2 linked regions of the Xenopus tropicalis genome follow. The protein of the gene in region 1 purifies or fractionates together with the protein of each later gene. This does not show direct contact. Links are inferred from orthologs where the notes say so. Each region holds a gene or a part of one and is shown on either strand. Other genes may lie near its edges.

The links.
Region 2: the proteins of gsk3b (region 1) and akap11 purify together in Homo sapiens (affinity purification with mass spectrometry; 4 studies listed by BioGRID and IntAct, with this or other methods). This does not show direct contact. The link is inferred for Xenopus tropicalis from reciprocal best matches to the Homo sapiens genes GSK3B and AKAP11.

The regions. Positions count from the first base shown.
Region 1 is NC_030678.2:1,861,738-1,865,490, reverse strand, and holds the start of gsk3b (glycogen synthase kinase-3 beta), read right to left. Parts: upstream 2,655-3,753; 5' UTR 496-2,654; coding exon 408-495; intron 1-407. UniProt on the Homo sapiens protein: Constitutively active protein kinase that acts as a negative regulator in the hormonal control of glucose homeostasis, Wnt signaling and regulation of transcription factors and microtubules, by phosphorylating and inactivating glycogen synthase (GYS1 or GYS2), EIF2B, CTNNB1/beta-catenin, APC, AXIN1, DPYSL2/CRMP2, JUN, NFATC1/NFATC, MAPT/TAU and MACF1.
Region 2 is NC_030678.2:132,784,500-132,788,252, reverse strand, and holds the start of akap11 (A-kinase anchor protein 11), read right to left. Parts: upstream 2,694-3,753; 5' UTR 2,458-2,693; intron 1-2,457. UniProt on the Homo sapiens protein: Binds to type II regulatory subunits of protein kinase A and anchors/targets them.

The DNA of each region.
Region 1 (3,753 bases):
TTGGAGCCCAACACTTTGCTGAAATAACAGTAAGTGAGTGCAATATCTCTCAATGCAGAGAGTTGTGGGTTCTGCAGACCATCCGGGGAGGAGACCTCTGCACAGACTCCCAGGGACGGGCGTCACGGCCAAACTCCTCGTTGGCGACTGAGTGACATCCCTAATCCCAGACTGGCATCTCGGTGGACCTCAGTAAAATCCAAAAATAACTCCTAATTGCGCGAGGCCCTTACGGTATTAGGGGTAATTCAGTGGGATCGGTTTACATGCAGGATGAGGGCGTGAGTGCAGCTTTATTGGGCACATTTCCCCTTATTGTAGCCGGGTTTCCTCTGCTTCACACTGGGGGGGGGGGGTTACGGGGAGTTACGGCACACACGGGCACGGTGCTACAAAGGGATACTCACGGCTGACTTTCATGCTGCCAAAAGATGACGGTTGCTGCACGGGTTTGCAGCTCTCTGCAAAGGAAGTGGTTCTCGGCCTCCCCGACATGATTCTCCGGCTCCTCCCTCACCTCCTTCTCTCTTGTAGATCAAAGCCAGATGGAGGGCAAGACCATCAAGGCCCCGGCGCACAATAAGCTTCTCAGCCCTTACCGAAAGCAGTGGGGCCTACCCGGCGCGGTGGTCCCTCTCCCCCACCTCTGTATTGTCACCTTTCCCCTCCGACGATCACTATTTATAGACCATCCCTCGGGCTCCAGTCGGGCACACAATATGGCAGCCGGGGTGTCAGTAGGCCATGTAGCCGGGAATCAGTGGTTTAGTCACAGGCGCAAGGGCCACGGGATTGTCACTGCCGGGGCCACAGGTGACGCTCGGGGGGTAACAGGGCTACTGCTCCTTAGCGATGGATTGAAGGGTTGGAGCCACACAGAGCAGGTTCCGGAGGCTGTTGCCCAAAGCTTGTGCCTGCAGGGGCAATACTTCAAGTATTAAGGGCAGTTTCAAGTGGTACTGCAACAATACTGCACCACAGGCAGGGCAACAGGGCAGGTTCTGCTCTAGTGGGAAAGCGGCAGAACTAGGAGGATCTGGTCATACGTCGTCTGGGGGGGGAATAAGGACAGTTGCCCCCAGGAATCTGTGATTTTGCCCCACTTGTGGCACAATATTGCCCTTGACAGGGTCTCAGGCAAAGGTTTCAGTCGCAAAGCCGAGATATTGATCCGATGGGGGTGGGAAGCTCACTGCTCCAATGGGGGTATTAGCAGGGGCAACTGGATGTCTCACTGCTCCAATGGGGGTATTAGCAGGGGCAGCTGGATGTCTCACTGCTCCAATGGGGGTATTAGCAGGGGCAGCTGGATGTCTCACTGCTCCAATGGGGGTATTAGCAGGGGCAACTGGATGTCTCACTGCTCCAATGGGGGTATTAGCAGGGGCAACTGGATGTCTCACTGCTCCAATGGGGGTATTAGCAGGGGCAGCTGGATGTCTCACTGCTCCAATGGGGGTATTAGCAGGGGCAACTGGATGTCTCACTGCTCCAATGGGGGTATTAGCAGGGGCAACTGGATGTCTCACTGCTCCAATGGGGGTATTAGCAGGGGCAACTGGATGTCTCACTGCTCCAATGGGGGTATTAGCAGGGGCAACTGGATGTCTCACTGCTCCAATGGGGGTATTAGCAGGGGCAGCTGGATGTCTCACTGCTCCAATGGGGGTATTAGCAGGGGCAGCTGGGTGTCTCACTGCTCCAATGGGGGTATTAACAGGGGCAGCTGGGTGTCTCACTGCTCCAATGGGGGTATTAGCAGGGGCAGCTGGATGTCTCACTGCTCCAATGGGGGTATTAGCAGGGGCAGCTGGATGTCTCACTGCTCCAATGGGGGTATTAACAGGGGCAACTGGATGTCTCACTGCTCCAATGGGGGTATTAGCAGGGGCAGCTGGATGTCTCAGATGTTGCCCTAGGGGTAATTATGGAAGTGCGTGGGTAAAGGGCAAATCTCGCCCCAGGGCCGGGTAGTAGCCCAGATGTTGCCCCAGTAGGGGTATTAGCCGGGGCAGGTGGGGTTAATGGCGGGCAGGGAGCGGGGCTTGGGCACAGGCTGAGGCCATGGCGCCTCTCACACAGGGCGGGCAGAGAGAGGGCGGAGAGAGCGGAGTTGTGGGCCCAGGGAGCCGGGCACTTGCTGTCAGGGCCGGGGGTGGGTTCCCGGGCGGAAGCTGCGGCGCAGGATAAAATCACCGGGCAGAGAAATTCGGTTCCCGTTGGACCTCGGGTCGGTACTGTCCCAGAATCCCTTGCGCAGGGCGTTAAAATAAGGTAATCTCCACCGTATCCGTGTCCGGTAACCGCTTCCAGCTCGGTCTCTTTCCCTTTGTCACTCTCCGTCCGACTGACCGCATTTGCCAGTCGGTCTTTTTCCCCGCAATCCTCTCCTCCCTCTCTGCTCAATGACGTAGCGCACCACGCGTCCAACGAGCCGCACGCTAGCGAAACTGAGTAACTCTGCTCTGAGAATACGGGCAAGGGAGGGGGCGGGCCTTCGCCAGTTCCTTCATGACGTTCTGATCTCGGTTTGCTCCGCCCGCATCACTCACCAGCCCATGGAAACCAATCAACTACACGGATTGGCGAGAGGGGGGGCAGAGAAGACGACGTAGCTAACCAATTATCGAGCTTCTCAGTCACTACTCAGCGCTTTCCCCCCCCTCCTTTCTCAATGGCTGGCGTTTTATAGATACTGCTTTATGATTGGCCATCATGTTACCCAGCTTCTCCAATGACACGTTTATTTTTGCAATCTCCGCCTCCTGCCGTTGTCTGCTTGACTCTGATTGGCTAAAGAAATTGTCCGTCTTCTTAACCAGGCCTAGCCTAGAGATAAAAGGAGAGGCGAGGCAGAAATAAGAGACGACCGTCTATTGGTAGGCAGGAGCAGCTGTTGCTGCAAGGAACGGGCGGAAGTAGGCGTTGTCAATCCTTGTTAAGACACCGGAAGTGTGACCTTTTAACTCTTATTATTCATGTATTATATCAGCTGGTTGAAATGTGGGTTTCTGTGGTAACTGGGATATTATGGGGCACGGATATGAGGTCTGAGCCCCGGCCCCGTGTTCAGTCAGAGTGGGGGGGTATTTGTGTGTGTGGGCACATCCTTCCTGTCATATATTCCTATTTGTTCCTTGTTACAGATCCCTAACATTTGCCAGATCTCTGAAATCCCATGGTGGATCATATGGGAGGGGCTGCTGTGTGGTTTTACCCCCCCATAGTGGAGCCGGTGTGCTTGGGTACTTGTGCCATAAGGAGGAAAATGGCTGAAACCAAAGGGGGGCAGGAGGGGTCCTTTACTTGCACCCAGGCCCCAGAGAAGGTTGTGAGGAGAGACTGTTGGCGAGGTCACCAAGCGAGCAGATCTTCTCCCGATATTGCCCACCCTTAGGGGAATTTAGGCTCATTTGGTTGCAGGGGCGGGCCAAGCCGACTGAGCGCCCTAGGCAACCCGGTCGGCCAACTCCGCCCACCTCCCCGCCCCCCCCCCCGAACGGCGCATGCGCACCAAAGCACAGGAGGAGGTGCAGGGGGGGGCGATATGATTAGATTGGTCATTGCCTCTGCCGCTAATGACAAGCGGTGGAGGCAATGACAAAGTAGCACTAGGGGTAGGCAGGCCCCTCAATCGTTGCGCCCTACGCAGCTGCCTCTTCTGCCCACCCCTAGTTCCAGCCCTGTTTGGTCATTTGGCCCTGGGGCCAAACAATCGAATTATAACGACTGTAATGGGCGCAGTCGTTTCGG
Region 2 (3,753 bases), about 130 Mb from region 1:
AATCTTATTGTTTTCATTTTTTGTCTTTTGTTTAAACTTTAGATTTTAGGGATGTTTGTAGTTTATTTAAATGATAAAAAGCCACAAGGACATAGGCTTAGCTTAGTTATAGATTTAGACCCAAACTTCAACAGTATCCTCATTCATGTTGGCTGTGAAAGGCTTGTATGGCCAATAGGATAATGCGTCAGTTGCCTAGCAAGTAGTTCTTTGGTTTGTTCCCAAAAGCAGACACCATCTTCATCTAGCTTTACAACTGCTGAGTTTTGGCAGTGATGAAATGCTTTGTATGTTGTGTTCTATTTGGTCAACATAGAAAATACATTAGTGTATTTAAAGTGAAGGAATCGGAGGAGTCGGAGTCGAGTTGAATGTACCATAAACTAAGGAGTAGGAGTTGAAGGATTTATGTACCGACTCCACAACCCTGCTCAAATCAAGTAATAAATTAAATTCCTGCTTAGGGTAGTGCCACATGGGGCTCATTCTCAGTCTGTGTAAAAACACGAGGAGAGAATCAGCCAATCCTCAGGCCTCTGCACTCACTGTAACTGCAATAGCCTGGGTGCAGACACATGGATGTTCCCTCTAATTTCTTGGTTCTGTGCACAAAAAGTTTCTTTGTGCTCACTTTTGAAAAACTGGTGTACAAATATCAGAATAATATACTCAAAATGTATTGATTTGTGTGCACGTGCATGAGTACACAGCTTAAAGGGAACAGTGCCAGAGGGAATTCCGGGAAAACATATGTAGTTTTACACCGAAATCTGCTTTGTGTGTCTGCACCCAGGCCAACGCAGTGCCTATGAGTTCAGACACATGAATGAGCAGAGACCGGTGGATTCTCTGCCTATGTTTATACGCAAGCCCCATGTGGCACTACCCTTAACAAGCAGTGAGGTATTAAGCCATTTAGTATTTTAAATACAATGAAATCAAACCTGTTTGACTGCAGCCCATTATCAGAATTAGAGAGCCATGGAAATGCATATATACCACCATATATATACCTCCTTTCAGAACAATTATTCTTCTGCCTTTGCATTCAAATAACATGTCTTATTTTGGAACCAAAGACTATTGTTTGTGTATCTGCTAGATAACTGCATAGTTCTTCTGGCAGCATCCCATCCATAAATTTTAAAGCTTTAAAAAAACCACATACTAACATATTTGCTGTACAGCAACCAATCAAACTGCTCCAAAATGATGAAATCTGATTGTCTGGAAATTGCTATGGGCTACAAACCGAAAGGACAATTTCATACTTTCTAGGAAAAGATGGGTGTTGGGTTTTCACAGACCTGAAGATGAACAGCCCCATAGTCTTATCTGCAGCTCTTGAACTAACTACATTTGGGAAGATTCCACAGCATTATGTATGTGAGTACCTATCTCCCAAATGCACCCATGTACAGGAATGCGTCTGGTAGTCCCCATTCCCCGAGTCAGAAACCTTAAGAAGGAGACAAGACAAGGAACCCACAGTATCAAACCCACCACAGGTAACAAAGAGACTGCCATGACAAAGGATTCCAAAGGCAAAAACAGCAGGAAGGTGCTTCCAATAAGACTATATGCCTGGCACCAAACAATATCACATGTGCCATAATCATCAGGGTGAAGGTAAACAAGGCAACTTGGCTCACCTTATGTGATAAACTTTCCAAGGGATGAAAGGGTAGATTTTGTTTTTGTTGTTAATGGGACATATTTTGACTAAACTGGCAAAATCCTGTCCATCTGTACTGGAAGGAACAGAAGGGAATAAAGATCATTGTTTGGTAAAGTATTCAGACAACCAAATATTTGTCTGATTTGGCCCATGCCATTTATCCCTGAGCCAATGGTCACAATGTAATGGAGTTGCTCACTCCCACAAATGTCATCATGAGTGTCAATTTCTTTATGTTTTTTACTTTTCAGACTAGAACACAGTAGCACAACCTGCTACCCCAGGAGAATACTATGACAAGTATTAAGGAAAATTCTAGGCCCTGAATTTTCTGGTTATCTGGTCCCCCTACTCTGGGACTCAGACAGCTGATTCATATAGAAACTTACAGCTATGACTTTGTATTGAGGAAGTGCAGTGACAGAGGTTGGAACCAGTGGTTACTTTTCATGTTTTATCCGCCCCAATAGCACAAAGCAGTACCAGTATTTGAGTCACAGGCCACTCAGAGCCCAAAAGTAAACAAGGTGCCACACTCCCAGGATCACTGTACCTGGAGGCAAATCATAACTAGCAGCAATAAAAGGATTAAGCATGCTAATCAGCGGATTACTTTAAGCAAGAATGCCATACTGTCTGTGTGCAACTACAACTCCCAGTAGCCTATGTCTGACAGAGCAGCAACAGAAGCGCAGGCAAGCCATGGAGATTCTGCAGTGCTATGTTGCGAATGGTGTGAATGACAGGCACACAGAGCAGCTGACAGCCATTATCATTACCTATCATCCGGTCATACGCAGGCCCCCAACGCCACAAGGTGCACAGAAGCGCTGCAGCAACTGCGGCCCGTAGATCGGTTATTCCTGCAGCGCTTTCATCGCAATAAACCAAGTGGCAGCATCATTGGCAGATTCCGGGCCCCGGACCCTGGGAAGCTTAGCTGGGCAGCTGAGGGAGTGTTGTGCTGCTGCTACTCGCTGCTGACGTTTCTCCTGCGTCATCTCACTGCGCTTCCCTGACGGCGCGTTGGTTGGCAATAGGAATGGCTGGCACTGACGTCATAGCCGGCAAGTGCATGTATGGCGCTGAGACTTACAGTAGCCACTCACTGTAGCCACTCACTGTAGCCACTCACTGTAGCCACTCACTGTAGTTGGACCTATAGCTGGTACAGCGCCAATGAGGTTTTCTGCTGTGTAAACAATTCCTGTCTGTGGCTCCAAGGCCATTAAAGCACATTAATGGCTGCATGGGGATAATAATATTTCTCTGTTTCACACAAAAATATAGGGAATGAAATATCCCAGTTGTAAACTATAAGGGTATTAGAAGGCTCTGGGGAGTTCAATGGCCAAACAAATGTTTTTATACAGGTCATGGAACTCTCCAGAAATGTCTAATATCCTTATATTTTGCAAAACCAGGGGATATATTATCTGTTATAATACACAAGGAAACAGTCATGTGACATGTGAAATTACATCTCTGAGCAACTGGTGGCATTATAAGGGTAGAGTTTAAAGGATTTTTGATGGCGTTATGTGTATTACTTTTTATATTTTACAACTCTGCACATTAATTTAACCCATTCCCATGTGCTTACATCATGTTCTAGTGCCCTAAACTCTGATTGCCATCACACTGGGAACCAACATTGCACTGCCGGTATATAATGGCCTGTCTGGTAAAAATGATGCGCAATGCCAATGTTATTAATAGGGAGGAAAGACAGAAATATGGGAAGGCCATTATTTTTTAAAAAAAATGGTGATAACCCTAACTTGTTCTGTTTAGAGATGTCTGCTACTTGTGAAACAGTGGGATTGAAGCTACACTGCTTATTGCAAGGTCCAGTACAATTCACAATATCTTCATTATTCTATACCTATGATTTGGCCTTTACCCAGATAGAGACAGAGATCACAGAAGCACCTGCTGTGGGTGTAGGGAAGTACTGGGCCCATACAAACCAAATGAATACTTAATCCTTAGTGGCCAGTGATGCTCAGCTTGTTCCTTGGCTCACACTGTGCCCCAGACTGGCATCTGGACTGTGACAATGGCAGCAGACGTGT